3 linked regions of the Schizosaccharomyces pombe genome follow. Changing the gene in region 3 together with the main gene of any one other region gives a genetic interaction. Each region holds a gene or a part of one and is shown on either strand. Other genes may lie near its edges.

The links. A genetic interaction does not mean that the proteins touch.
Region 1: mutations in ebs1 (region 3) and pef1 together harm fitness more than expected from each alone (negative genetic interaction), as found in Schizosaccharomyces pombe (2 studies listed by BioGRID).
Region 2: mutations in ebs1 (region 3) and hrq1 together harm fitness more than expected from each alone (negative genetic interaction), as found in Schizosaccharomyces pombe (2 studies listed by BioGRID).

What each region holds. Positions count from the first base shown.
Region 1 is NC_003421.2:686,013-689,209, reverse strand, and holds pef1 (cyclin-dependent protein kinase Pho85/PhoA-like Pef1), read right to left. Parts: upstream 1,476-3,197; 5' UTR 1,457-1,475; coding exon 1,429-1,456; exon of another isoform or gene 1,378-1,428; coding exon 539-1,377; downstream 1-538. Other genes in the region: pgl1 (6-phosphogluconolactonase), read right to left, coding at 2,418-3,006, 3,125-3,197.
Region 2 is NC_003424.3:4,113,135-4,118,869, forward strand, and holds hrq1 (RecQ type DNA helicase Hrq1), read right to left. Parts: upstream 4,081-5,735; 5' UTR 4,048-4,080; coding exon 975-4,047; exon of another isoform or gene 800-974; coding exon 681-799; 3' UTR 539-680; downstream 1-538. Other genes in the region: mrp51 (mitochondrial 37S ribosomal protein bS1m), read right to left, coding at 1-462; mgs1 (DNA replication ATPase), read right to left, coding at 4,153-4,251, 4,292-5,066, 5,111-5,128, 5,174-5,204, 5,248-5,735. UniProt on the Schizosaccharomyces pombe protein: Helicase with 3'-5' helicase activity involved in genome stability. Functions in the nucleotide excision repair (NER) pathway and plays a critical role in DNA interstrand cross-link repair.
Region 3 is NC_003423.3:1,732,261-1,738,917, reverse strand, and holds ebs1 (EST1 family protein), read right to left. Parts: upstream 4,694-6,657; 5' UTR 4,565-4,693; coding exon 1,889-4,564; 3' UTR 556-1,888; downstream 1-555. Other genes in the region: rpl1701 (60S ribosomal protein L17), read left to right, coding at 4,935-5,498; sterol transfer protein Osh2, read right to left, coding at 5,781-6,657.

The DNA of each region.
Region 1 (3,197 bases), on a different chromosome or scaffold from region 3:
CAGTTAAATAATAGGGAAGGAAGCCATTAATCCACTAATAAAAATAAGTGAAAAAAGATTGTTTTTCATGTGCATTGCGGATAATTGCTTGAAATCCGCAAATTATTATCAGTATACTAAAAACCCGCATTGCTTTTTGAATATTATCCTTTTGCTCCTTCATAAAAATGTCAGACGCAATGCGGATCATTCAATTCTTTAAGTATTTCATTTACGACTTGAATGTCATCAGCGACGATATTTTAATCGTAGAAAATAAAACGCCGTTTAATTCTTGGCTAAAAATATATTCGACAGCTTCAAATCCTCTCAAAATAATAACCAAATATTTACCTCTAAACCTCGTTTAAAAAAGATCAATAGGGATAGCTACTTGGGCTAAAACAGTTGCGAAGAAATTTGAACGTCCAAAAATATTGTGCTCTTTCCCTAGGTGAAATGCATTCTTTCCAAAAAAAAAATTAATGATTTCAATAGGAAACTGAAATGAATAAATAAAATCGTAATTTGGTTAAACTTTTTGATGTTAATTTACAGCCTATGCGGTTAAAAACCAAGCATGTTGAAGCGCATCCTGGCCGGTCGTCCTTAATTCAGGTTGTAGACGAAGCATCCGTCGTAACAAATCCAAACCAAGAGGATCAAATGTTGGAAATAGGTAGGCGAGATCTTGTGCTTTATAAATAGGGAAAGTAGGCTTATATTCAGGAAGTAAAGAAATTCCGGGCCATGATTGTTCAGTAGGAGTTCCCAATAATCGGAAGATTTTTAGTAGCTGATCCTCATTATTTGACCCAGCAAATAGAGGACGTCCTGTAGCCATTTCTGCCATGATACAACCAACTGACCAAATATCAATGGAAGTTGAATATACTCGAGAACCCAAAAGAACGTCAGGAGCACGATACCATAAGGTGACCACTTCGTTTGAAAAAGTATTCACTGGAATTCCAATTGAACGGGCTAACCCAAAATCCGCCAATTTCAATTCACCACGACTGTTGATAAGCAAATTTTGAGGTTTCAGATCACGATGTAGAACTCGGTTTTCGTGACAAAAAGATATCCCTTTGAGTAATTGTTGAGTAAAATTTTTTACTTGAGAAGGTGGAAGAGCTCCTTGGTTCCCATAAGTGTCCATGTACTTTTTCAAATCTTTTTCCATATATTCAAAAACGAGCATAAGCTTATTTTCGGTTTGCAAAACGTCTGAGAGAGACATAATATTGGGATGCCTAAGCTCCTTCATAAGACTAATCTCACGGATAGCAGTACTAGGTGTTCCTTCATCTGCATCAATACGAATAACTTTGAGAGCGACAATTTCACCAGTCACTCGATTTTGCCCCTTATAAACATGCGCATATGTTCCCTCTCCTACTTAAGTTAATGAAATTGCAAATTTTGGGACCTCAAACTCATACTTACCTAACTTTTCAAGCCTTTGGTAGTTCATGTTGTGCGATGGAAATATCAAGTGCCTCCTCTACGATGACTAACGACTTAAGGTGATGTTAAGCTAACAAAACTGTTTTTAAGACCTACAGTTTTGAAGAATATGCTAAGAAAAAAAATTTTTAGTCTATTGAGTCATGTCGAACATCTTGCTATAATGTAAACTATTGTAATTAAGATCACTACAGCTTCTATCACAAATTAACCTAATGATAATTAATCAGAAGGTTGCCATCTGTAGAAAACACATAAGTATTAATAAACCCTTACATAAAGGAGAGTTTAAGCAATTGCATGTTTTTGGATATAAATTTCCATCTTTGCTTAAAATCTATCATAAGCAGTATGAGAAAATGCCGTAATTTTGCATAATTTTAAAAATGAATTAATGATTTAATAAAAGAATTGAAGCTAAACTATATCACTGCAATTCAAAAACAATTGGTTTACTTTATCTTGTTGATGAAACACATTTTAGAACATTATCACCAACAAAAAATGATACAAGATAGCTTAAGTTTATATATTTCAATGATTCATTTCTTCATTAAAACATCATATTTCTGCAGTGTGGGTTTGGCCAGTGATATCAATCAACTAAACATGATTCTAAACGAAGCAATAAAACAATTTAATAAAGCATTAGCTTCTTACACATTGTTTACAAGACTAACCTTTATACGCTAGTCTAAAATAAAAAACAGACAACAAATGCAAAGAGGATTTGAGGAACAAGTTCTCTCCTAATCTACTAACATGTGTTAAAACTGGTCATCAAGCATTCCACGGAAGTGACTGAAAGCATTTTGAAAGTCATTATCTAAAGCGTTTATGCAAAGAATCTCACGAACAACAAAAGAGAACTGCAACCTTTCCCTTGAAAGACCTTAAAGAAACAAGTAATGAATCCGAAGCATGTAGCAATTAAGCATTCTAAAGGCCACCTGCTTAAATTGAACTGCCTATTGAGGGAAAACCTTCAAAGAGGATCTCTCAAGATTGGCTGATGCTTCATCATCCACAAACCAGCTTGTACGAGTCAAATTGTTTCGAGTGATCAGCGCACTTGGAAGTTTAGATGTAAAATCCTCAATGACAATAGGCAAAATATCCTTCTTACCAGCACCTGTGGTAACAAAGGCAATGGCTTGAGCATGTGTGACAACCGGTAAAGTCAAAGTGATGCGGTCTTTAGGGGGTTTGGGCGAATCAGTGACTGGGGCCACCCAAGCAACGTCTTCCTGGAGTACCTCGTGATCGGGGAATAGAGAACATGTATGGCCATCAGGACCGCATCCTAACAGCAGTAAATCAAACACAGGGACCTTAACAGTGGAGCTATTTGCAAACACATGCACTAATTGTTTTTCATATTCATCAGCAACATTCTGAGGGTCAATAGGATTTTCTTTCAAAAGCTCAGGATTGATGGTATGAATTTTTTTAGGGTCAAATCCTTCAAACTTGTCAAAAATCAACTTTTTACAGAGCGCATAATTTGAGTTTTCATCATCTAAAGGAACAATTCTTTCATCAGCAAAGAAAACTTCCCTAAATAGAGCTGTTAATCATAAATTGCCTTAAGACAGAGTGTTTCACGTCAACCAAAGCTAAACAAAACCACAGTGAATCCATACAACTCAAAAGTATATAATATCTGTTAACTTACCATTTGGAAAACTCGATACCTCTCTGTTGAGCCAATCCTTCAGCCAAAACCTTTGGTAAACTTCCTCCACTAA
Region 2 (5,735 bases), on a different chromosome or scaffold from region 3:
ATTAATTAAAGGAACATTACTGTATTGAATACCGCCAGAAACTCCGTAACGGCGAAAGTTATCATTTTCGTCGGATTGTTTAGAAGGAGAAAATACCTTATTTATGTCACGCGTATCTTTCAACCCCGTTTCTTTCAATAATTCTTGCAACAAAGCAACTTCAGAAGGATCTCGTACAAATCCAGCATCAAACCAATTGCGAACTAGACGAACAAATTTAGCGCTTGATTGAAAATCTGCTTGCTTGTATAAGGAATCTTGCTGCCGCACACATATGTATCTTGTCTTTATTTTTGGAAGAGTCCTTTTCAGTCCCCAATCACCACGAGCTCTACTATTTTTTTTTGAAGTTATGGATTGCAATCGAGGAAACCGAAGGTGTGATGTTGAATAATTGGATTCTGGAAGACATTTTGGAGAAGCCATTGCCCTCGAGCCACGGAGAATTTGTGCAAAACTCATATTTTTACAAAAATTCAAGATTTATATTGGGACTTGGCTTCTATGAGGAGAACGGTGGCTGTACGGTAGTAAGCACTGAGCGCTGTCAGTATCTAACATTGACTCCGGTAAGTTAGGGTAGGGTTTAAATGTAAAATCAAAAAGCACAACGCAATATTAGTAGTACTAACTAATAATTTAGTCTAATATAAACAAAATAAAAAAAATAAATTCAATTATTAACAAGAAGGTATTAAAGTTCGCAAAGCGTGATATGAATCAATCTCTGGTCCATCAGCATATATATCTAAATTTACATGTTGACACAGTAGCATTTTCAATAAGATTAAAGCGCCAACTGAAAGAAATATGTTAGTAGAAGTAATGTGAATAATCTATTTAAGTTTGCAAGCAATCCCTTTTCATTTGATCATAAAAAAAATGAGAGTGTTATCTTACAAACTACTAAGCGACCAATCTATACGGGATTGCTTCACCGTCCAACAAAAAATGCAAAGTATATCTATACTTACCCTTGTCAAGTACTTCTCCAGAGCAAACTCCGCCTTCAAATTTTGAACTCGTAATACATCCGGGACAACCTTCACGAACTTTGCAATCGCAACTCTCAATTCGCTCAATGGCCATTGTAATTAATTCATCAGTATGTTCATATGCCTTGTTGCATAAACCAGCACCAGATGAATCACCACAATTATCATAGAAAATGAGTCGGGAAGGACGTCTTCGCTCGCTTTTAGCCTCTTTATACTCCTTTTCACCCGCTTTACATTCTGTTCGAATATCGTTACCGCTGTTACTAATAAAAATTGGCATCAACGAAAGTAAAGCATGTTGGGCAGCATGTATACTAGCGGCTCCATTTATTTTTTTTAATGACAAAACCTCAATGATATGCCAAGGTACATCTATCCAGAAACCTCGACTATCAATTTCAACAGGATGATCGGTAATATCTACCACGTCCAGAATATCTTTCTGCTTGTTAACTTTGAAATACCCAAATACATGTAATGTTGCTTTAACAGCCCCAAAATAAATGTTTGTACTTCCATGCATAGTCTTCTTCATTAAGCTGCGAACAGGATCAACATCTGTGAAATCTCTTTGCAATGTTGACCATTCAACATCAACTTGATGAGCAGTAATAATTCTCTTGTTAATATTTAGGAGCCTAATGATAAACGTTTTTCCTTGATAAACATAAACTGCACCTTCGTAAGCAGTTAATGCAACACGAAAAGGTTCGAGGAGTTCTAGAATAACATTCTTATCATTTGTGACATCGACGAGAGTAAACATGTCTTCACTAACGCTTCGTATCCGTACCTGCGAGGCAGGAAAAGGAAGATATTTTGGATGAGGCCGATAACTCTCTTCAACCATTTCTAAATTTGCTTCGCAAATGTCTTGAATTTGATTTCCAAAAAACTTTTCGTCGCTCCTTATGTTAATGGGAAGCTCATATGCAGCACACTGAAGATGACTCGCTAGTAATACCTCATTTGTCAAGTCTAAAGTGAGTTCAGCATTTGGTTGAGTGTGAATCAAAATAGGATGCTTTAAATAAAACTGATCAACGGGAAATGTCTCAACTATATATACTGCTAAGGAAGACTTATTCCTTCTACCAGCACGACCAAATTGCTGGCGCAAGTTAGACAAAGAATATGGAAATCCTATGGTTATAACGGCATCCAGTGATCCTATATCAATACCTAGCTCTAAAGCATTCGTCGCAATAATCCCATATAATTTCCCGTTAAACATTTCACTCTCTATCTTCCTGCGTTCCTGAACCGTATACCCAGCCCTATACGATTGAATCTTAGATAAAAGATCTCCTTTTTGTTTGGTTTTTAATTCCTGCCTCACTAGTCTCATTAACGACTCACAGGTTTTTCGAACACGACAGAAAACAATTGTACGCACCCGCTTTTCGGCAAATTTAATAAGCAGTTTCGAGGCTTCAGAGATTGCGCTTTTCTTTCCATCATCAGGATGCTTGGGGTCGACATAAGGTGGATTCCACATTACAAATTTTTTTGAACCAGAAGGAGAAGAAGTATAGTTAATTAGTTTTATATTATCTACTCCAAAAATTTTTTTCATATGTTGTAAAGGATCCTCAATAGTAGCCGAGCATGATACAAATCGATATTGACTATTTCCAAAGTACTCAGCAATACGGCGCATCCTTCTTAGAACAAAAGCAACGTGAACGCCAAATATTCCATTGTACACATGAGCTTCATCCAGGACGAAAAGTTTCAGGTTTTTAAAGAAATAATACCAACGATTAGCATTGGGAAGAATCGTTTGATGTAACATATCCGGATTCGTAAAGATTATATTTGCAGATCTAATAATACTTTCTCTAGACTCAAGTGGTGTATCCCCATCGAAGGTGTCCACTCGAATATTCTTAAGCGTCGGCATATAGCTAAGTATATCGATTAACGACTTCTTCTGATCTTGGGCTAAAGATTTAGTAGGGAATACAAAAAATGCCGTAGATTGATTATCTTCTAACAAACTTTGTAAAATTGGAATTTGGTAAATCAAAGACTTTCCACTAGATGTAGAAGTTGACACTATAACATGAAATCCGTTCCAAAGGTGGTTGATAGCGTCTGCCTGATGTTTGTATGTCTTTTCGATGTTTCTAGATGTATAAAGAGCATTTATAAGCTCTTGAGACAAAGGTCGAGACAACGCTCCATATTGTGCTTCAACAGCAGGATAAGTATGTAAAGCTTCTTGGACTATTTGCCCTTCGTAAGAAGATTCAGAAGCTATTTCATTTAAAAGTTCTTCAATTGAGCACGCTTTAGTATTTAAATTGCAGTTTTCTATTGAATCATTAGGAATACTCGGTGAATCAGGAGGAACCGGCTGGTTTTTCCGGGATTGAGTTAATAGCTGTTGCGTTGGGTCAAGTTCTGTCAATTGACATTTTTTTATATATTCTTTAATCCCTTGAAGGAACTTTTGGTTTCGTAACTCTATGGCTTTCTTCAAATTATTAAAATCCAGCTTTTGCCTCTGGATATTAGCCTTCATTGTTGGGCCTTCACGTCTCCTTCGTTTGGAACTTCTCTCTTGCGTTTCTAAAAGCTCAATAACCAAAACATATTCAGAACTCTGTGAGACCGTTGAACCAGTGTACAACTCAGGGTTTAGATCAGTGTAAACATTTTTATTGATTTCTAATGCAAGGCTAGCAAGTGATTTATAATTTAATTCAATTATTTGAGGACATATTTCTCTTAGCTGAGATAAATCGCCGATTGTCAACTCCTTTTTCAAACTTTGCTTAACACTCGAATTGAGAAGGGGAAAAGTGATTGTAAGAGAATTTCTCAAATAAAGAAAAGTGTATGTAGTATTAATTACCTTGAATAAATTAAAAAGATTGTCAAATATGGATGGAATAGGCTGATTAGCTTGAATAGTTCCAAGTTGTGGTTTTTTTTTGGGATTATCTGCTTTCAGAGGGAGCTTCCCTTCATTAATATATTTTTTAAATTCAAATTTATCATCCTGATCATTAGATTCTTCCTTTTTAATAGGAGTTTGAGACATTACCCCTTCACCATTAAAGTATGGGCTAAGTGCAAAGGTATTGAAATACAATGATTTCCATTATAACGTGGTAAATGAACAATTAGTGAAGGATCACTTATATAATTATTTAGTATCAGTTTTTAAATTTTTAATTTCTTCATCCTCTTTTAACTCTATAGGTAGCTTATAAAACTTTGTTCCCTTGATAGAATCGGGTAAATACTGAGTAGGTTAACAAATTGAAAAGAATATTTTTTATTACCTCTTGCATTACTAATCCGTCTTTATAATCCGGATTGTATTTATATCCTTTATGGTATCCTAATTGCTTCATCAAATTTGTAGGAGCATTTCGAATATGCATGGGAATTTCAGCCCTGCCAGCATCGGGATGAGAAGACAAAAAACTTTTTACAGCATTATATGATCTGTAAACGTCAACTGATTTTGGAGCTAATGCTAAGGCGACGGCGCAATGAGCTAGAATTACATCGGCTTCAGGCATGCCAACTTGTTGAACAGCAGTAAATGTACTGGATGCTAGAGGTAGCATAGAATTATCTGCTATTCCAATGTCTTCGCTTGCTATTCTAACCATTCTTCGTGCCACATACAGTGGATCTTCTCCAGACTCGAGCATTCTACCCAGATAGTATAAAGTTGCATCGACATCAGAACCCCTTACTGATTTATGGAAGGCAGAAATTGTATCATAATGAACATCACCTACTCTGTCGTAAAGTGCAGAAGATCTGACTAGCTTGTCCTTAATATCTTCGAGTGACAGGGGTCCTTGTCTTAGCATTCCAATAGACATTTCTAAAGCATTTAAGGCCATTCTAGCATCTCCGTCTGTAATAGCAGATATGTAATCAATAATAGATGTTTCAACGTTGGGCATAGAAGATCCTAGTCGCTCACTTTCCAGTAAGCAAGCATGGTTTAATATTTTCTTAACATTATCACGCGTTAGTTTCTTAAGCACAAAAACGGGGCATCTGCTAATGAGAGCAGAATTTAGTCGGAAAGAAGGATTTCTACAATGTTAATCATGGTGGAAAACATTAGTGTTTAAACATACTCAGTTGTTGCGCCGATCCTAATTCAAAGGTTAGCATTTGTGATATTAGAATGCATCACTTACAGAGTAACTAGACCCTTTTCAACCATTGGCACTAGTCATGGTTAATTGAAGAGATAAAAAAATATCAAACTTACAAAATATATCCTGTTGCGCACGGTTGAAACGATGTACTTCGTCCAAGAAAATAATAGTCTTTCTTCCTGTCAAGGTGAGATAATTTTGTGAGTCTTCAAAGATTTTACGACAATCAGCAACAGTCGTCGAAGTCGCAGAAATTTCTATGAACCTTGATTTTGTTGTAACGGCAATTAGTCTAGCAAGCGTAGTCTTTCCAGTTCCAGCACTACCCCATAAAATCATGGAATTGCACCTATCTTGTTCAATCAGATTACGAATGATGCCTCGCTCACCAACCAGCTCTTCCTGACCAACATATTCATCTAGTGATTTGGGTCTTGCTCGTTCCGCCAGTGGTCGTGTATCCCGTCTTGTAAGTTTAGTTTTCTTTGTAGGGCTGGGTTCAGGCTCTATAAATTTTGTAGCGCTCTGGTGAGATGAGACATTTGTTTCTAAATGATGTTTATAGCGTTCCTTTTTAAAAAAGGGTGAAACAGGTTTCGAA
Region 3 (6,657 bases):
AAAAATACAACAGGTTACTTTCTAGGGAATTTTCGTGAAAATCCTTTTGCTTTATAAGCAGATGAGCACTTGTGTTATAATTTACCAATAAATTATAGTAAATAACACAAATCCGGGAAAAAATATTTATAATCACGAAACAAGGAAATTGTAAAGACCAATGTCCACAAATGATACCTGTTTCTCAAATCTTCAAAGGAAGGTTTTAACAAATGGTTATGGATAAAACAGGTAAGTCTCGCAACCAAAACAATTTTGCAATGGATCTTAGGTACTAGGGCTGGAAGATTGCTCGCGTTTGTCTAGTGTATTGTCATGGTTAGTGTACCGTATTACCTAGTGCCAAGTAAGGAAATCCGAGGCATCGTTATAATCATATGCCACACGATTTTGAGTGCCAAGTGTAATAGAAAGTATTGTACTTGTAACTTACAAACTTATTTAAACAAGTTAGCTTTAAAGCTTTAAGCTGATGTCTTTCTGTTTTTTTTTATACGTCGAAAAACAAATGTTTTTCCTTCAGCTGGTACATAAAAAAGCAGCTAATTGCTCTTCTTTTACAAGATGATTTTATTTTTGTATTTCTCAAAATCGTGCCAAATGGCATGCCACACATATTCAAATTATTGGAAAGTATTATTACTAACTGGCTCTACAAACTATTTGGATAGGATAGTGATGCATGTCATAAGATCACTTTCATGCAATAACAATACTAATCCAATTCGTTCTTTTGTATTCACTTTGTTCTTGTTCGTTTTTTACCTTCTTTCCTTTCAATATAGATGTGTGATGATGAATGAGAGATGCAAGAAGCTTAGCTCAAACACAATCCTGAAAGAGTAAAGTACTCAACATAAAATAATGCATTTATACATTTCGTACCTTTATCAATCTATTATGCAACAATAAAAGCATTTTATCCAAAAGAAAACAAGTTGTCTTAATACTTGAAAAGATCAATAGATTTACTTTTAGTTTGGTTTTCTAAAAAGAGAATCACACTTGATAAGAAATTGATTGCCTCGAATAACTCAAAACTAAATTATCTTAAACAACAGATACCGCCAGTGTATACTCAAAAATCATAGATATATGTTTCGAATTCGTAACACTTTAATGAAAAACCAAGCATTTCATAGGAAAGACAAATTTACACTTTAGTTTTGTGTCCAGGCATTACGATAACGTCTGGTAAAGACATAAAAAGAGGTATAAGATCTGGCACTTGAGAATCGCCAGTCATTACAATTTGGATACAGAACAAGCTCTAGAAACTCAAGATAGTGCAGTAAATGTTTATAAAGAGCATTTCTGCTTAGAATCACAAAACAAATTGCACTGAGTAACCAAATATTGAATATTCACTGTCCAAGCTCATATGCTTATTATCAATCAATTGGCAAGCTGAGGATATCCAACAAGTCAGATAACTTCATAATTCGAGGCTAAAGATTCTATTTAAAGAATTCAACGCAGTCCTATGTAAACAATTAACCCATTCTATGATATATATTGTAACATTGGGAAGCGCCTTAATTGCTTGTGTTTAGGTCAAACCAGAACAGCGCTATGATAACTAAACAACGTTTTATTTTCCCATCGACCATATTTTAATTTAAGTGTCGTGAATACCCGTACACTTTAGGCCATTTGATGACTATTCATACTTATATAAAAGTCAAAGCCTTTCTTTAGGCAAGTGAAGAACCATTTCTAATTCGTAAGCACAGTGTATAAACAAAGAAATCCGTGATACATTATTTTGGGTTATTTCACTTCGTGAGAAATAAAGCAAGAAATTTGTTCGTTGTTGGCAGCAAAGTTAATTGACTGCTTCTAACAAACTTCAGAATTTTTAATGAAACATTACAATCAACAATACAGTTTAATTATTGCTGATGTTAACCATTTTCTTTAATAGCTCAGACAAAACCAAATGTTCCGGAGGTTCCGTAGCAGGCGTAGAAAATGTGTTTAAAGCAGGGCTTCTCAATGGGCGGAATAAAACACGTTCACCTTGTAAATGTCCGTTTTGCGGAGATCCGTTCAAGTGTGTCTCACAAGAACTGAGATTCCCAGACACTAAAGGATAAGAACTAGTACTTTCACTAAATGGTGTGCTAGTCCTACTAAAACCAGAATCGACAGCTCTAGGACTCTCATTTGAAAACGTGCGTTGTTGTAATGAATGAACAGAGCACCCGGTAGTTTGAGCAGGTATAGGTTGAACAGGTCCAACGAGGCTATCCACCATCCTCCCAAATTGCAGACTTGCAATACTAGATGACTGATTAGCTATGGATGGTGTTCCAGATAAAAAAGGAGATGTAGGAGAAGATTGAGCAGATGGAAAAGAAGATGAGGACATTAGTGAATAATTCGATAATCCCATTCCAGTAAAAGCCTGTCCGCTAAATGGAGATCTGTGGGGTGTTGGAGGCGAAGAAAAAGATGTGCTATTTGGTGTACTTTTCGCTCGCATATTCAGTAACACATACAAAGAATCTAACGCAATTGTTATCAGTGCGTCAGAATCATCAACTTGGGGACCTTTACCTTCCTCATTAAAAGGATAATGATTTGAAAAGTAAAGCCACTGTAAAGTATCACGAGGAACTCCACAAACCTTAACAAGAGGGAAAAAGAATAGCAGGCCGATACTTTTAGAAGAACAGCGTACAAGAACAGAGTCGTCGGGAGCTGTTTGATTTGTGTTCTCCAAAAAGAAGCTTAAACGATTGAATATCTGTGAAAGTCCAGTTCGAATATCTTTAGTAAGCCAGACGTCCCCATTTTGCAAACACGAAGAAGTCAAAACACACAAAGGTAGAAGCATTGGCATAAGTACAGCATTTGAAGACAGAGATCCATATTGACGACGTTCGACTAGATCATCAAAATTACCGTCCTTCTTACTCGACACACCAGAGGTAAGAGCTTGTAAAGGAAGCTGGCTATTCACTGAATCAGAAAGGACTTCAAAAAACATAGTTGTAGTTTGTGTAGCAAGCTTTAAATTCGGATACGACTCACCGTGTTCTCCAGAATCACTAAAGCCAATAAATGGAGCTAAAACCCTTGCAGCCAATGCACAATATGTCATCTGTAATAAAGAGGATTCTGAAAACAAGCCGCTTTTAAGTGACTCAGAAAGAAGAAATCGAACTCGTTTGAATAAAGGACCAGAGTCTTGTATGTAGTCGGCATCAGTATTACTAAAAGCAATTGCATACAGACGCAAAAACAGGGAAATGGCAGAGGATTCCTTATGATATAAACAGGGATTCGAACCATCATTAGTTTTGCCGAAGCAACGCTTCAAAGCAATAAATAAACTAGTCTTAGCCGATGAGGCCGCAACATTGTTAGGGGATATGGATGACAAAAAGAAAAAAGAAATAGCAGGTAAAGCTTGAATGAGACGTTTATCCTCTACATTAACGTTACCCTTCAGGGAACTGCTCTGGCCAGAGGACGACTTTCTGGATGAAGATCGAGCATCGGCAACTTCGATTAGCCCAAGTTGGTGAAAATGAACACCATAATCGGGTGCTACGTTAGCAGCCATAACATAGTATCTACGGGAAACTTGATAATCAGGTACGTTTGGAGAACGAACCTCAGCCAAGTAACGGTGGACATCGCCAATGTAAATCAAAGACCTATACACACAAAGAACCAAATACTGTGGTTTATGATCAGTTAATGCAGGTTCGTAAGTGAGTGAATTAGAAGAAGAGTCTTTCTTTAATGGAGAAGAAGAGGATGATGGAGAGCCTGAAAGTAATCTTTTCACAGAGTCAACTTCCAAACAAGAATCTTCAAATATGGAGGAAAAAAGAGCAGCAAGCCTTGATTGCGAATTGGTACTTGTTTTCCAATTATGAGAACCTTGCTTTCGCAGAGGGGACTCTAAAATCGTTTTAGGAGTTACACAAGATGTAAAGAAAGAAGTTAATGGACTGAGACATTGTAAATGATATAATTCACCAATTATAGCAATCAAAGTAGTGTAAAACTGTATGGTTGAGTTCAAATACTGAATATGCATAGTAACAAGTGAGCTTAAAAGCTCCGGGTCATGTTGGGTAGATGCTTCATAGATACGATGCTTAAAAAAGGAGATAACTTGGTAATGCACCCGCATCCACAAATACGTCAAAACATCTTTTTCCATAGAAAAGGAAACATCAATCAAAATAGTTCCACCAAGAAGGGAAGTTATTTTTTGACATAACTCGAAGATTTCTTTCCATTTTTTCTGCCTGGCCCTCAACCAAAGAGCCTCTTTATTCCTTTTTTTCTTTTCAGTGGGTTCGGAGGACTCAACACCCTTTACAGGTGTTGCAAAATGACTCGATTGATGCTGTTTCTTAGCATCATATTTCTTTCTTGATTCGGAGCGTGGCTTTTTGTGGCCATCCACTACAACGCTTGTACAATTTTCTTTAAAGTTTCCGAGTAGCTTTTTTAACTTGGAAAGAAGTGTAGTAGCTTCATTGTATTTTTGTTCACACAACTTCCAAGACACTGTATGCTCACATGAATCTATGGCGCTCATATGTATGATCGCTTCTCCTTAATTGATAGTCCGTCGCTGGAGAAATGCCACAACTTGAAATGCCAAGGCAAATGAAACAACGAGTGAGGAGAAAAGAAAAGAAATCTGTAGACAAAGTCGGTGATCGGTGAAGGAGCAAGAAAAATACACAAAAAATGGGAAGAATCTACTGAAACCTAAGGAAGTGGCTACATATTCACTAAACAATATACCGATGTTGAAGGTTCCAAAACATTTTTGGGTAGGTCAATTAGCATGTTTTTGTAACCCTACCCTAAGTGTCCAAACCAGTCACAATTGTTCACACTAGAAACGAGAATAGTAAATTCCTAGAGAAGAGCACTAGCCTTTTACCACAACAAAAGTAGCAATGGTCCGCTATTCAGCTTCCCCTGCTCTTGAGACAAAGTGCGCCAAAGCTCGCGGAGCTTACTTGAGAACCCATTTCAAGAACTCTCGTGAAGTTGCCTTTACCATTAATGGCATGAGTTTGAAGAAGGCCTTCATCTTCCTTGACAACGTCAAGGAACACAAGCAAGCCGTTCCTTTCCGTCGCTTCAACGGCGGTGTTGGCCGTACTGCTCAAGGTAAGGAGTTTGGCGTCACCCAAGCTCGCTGGCCCGTCAAGTCTGTTAAATTCTTCTACGACCTTTTGAAGAATGCCGAGGCTAATGCTGAGGCTAAGGGGTTAGACATGGACAAACTCATCATTAAGCATGTCCAAGTCAATGCTGCCCCTAAGCAACGCAGACGTACTTATCGTGCTCACGGTCGTGTCACTGCTTACCTTTCCAGCCCTTCTCACATTGAAATCATTGTTGCCGAAGAGGAGGAAGCAGTCCCCAAGGCTAACGACACCGTTTCCCGTGTTTCCTTGAAGCAAGGTGCCAAGGCCAGAAACTTGGCTGCTCGCAAAGCTATTACTGCTGCTTAAAATTTCATTTACTAAATTTCTCCTTTGTACTTATGTGTTCAATACACTTCGTGCGTATACGTATTCTTTGTAAGAACATTGTAGCATTTAATGTATCATGAAGTTATGTAGCTAATTTTTTCATTATTAATATCTATAATACTGTCTACTTGTAGTAGTGTATCAAGACTAAATAAAACTAAATAAACTTTACTCAGTGTTGTTGGTCATAGTGTGTCAAATAGTTGGATTGCCATTCCTTGCCTTTTTGCAAAACAAAATGATTAATAATTTCGTGAGATCTCAAAAAATATCATCAACATTAGGCCATTCAAATTCCTTTCCGGCCAAATGAGCTTCACCAGCTTCCTCTCTTATTTTCCAATATTCGTTGTTAAACTGCCAATAGTCTTCACCAGTAACGGGATGCTTAGCCGCCGAAAACCACCTTGGAGACCATGGTGGCATTTCGCCTTGCTCACGCATACGGCGTTTTTTCCTCTGCTTTTCTTCAAGGCGGTTTTTCTCAGATGCTGCTAAGTCATATTGTCCATTTTCCATTGCTCTTTGGTCAGGTCGCAAACGCGTATCAGTGGGAGGAAGCCAGGGTTTTAACTGTGGAGTGAGCGCATTAAGTGAAATTGCGAAAGGGGTTAAATTGAAAGGACGAGGCGGTCTTTCATGATTTTGCCATAGCAGAATCTTATTTCCATTTGGCTGCTGACCAAAAATTTTATCATTCCAGTGTCCGTTAACCATCCATTTAGGAGTATCATCCGTCGATTGTACACTTCCTTTAACTTCATGGGCATTTGTACCTCTCCATCCACGAGGTTTGAAATCAAGGACACAATTGATTCCACTGCTGTGGTTTACAATATGCATTTGGCCATAGTTATCCACCGATGGGCTTCCAAGAATAATCCCTACGACAGATGAGGTGACCTTTTTCCAAGTATACAATTCAACTTCCCCAGAAGGATGTCTTAATTCCAAAAACCATGTACCAAGGGGTGAGATATCAAAACTTTTACCATAGAATTTCGACTTAACACTTGATTCTCCGTAATATTTCCAGTTCGCGGATTCCGAATAAGCAGCTCCAACAGGAGGATGGTGACTAACTTGTTCCACAATAAACCTGAATCCACGTTGAGGGTGACAAAATTCATATGTTTCT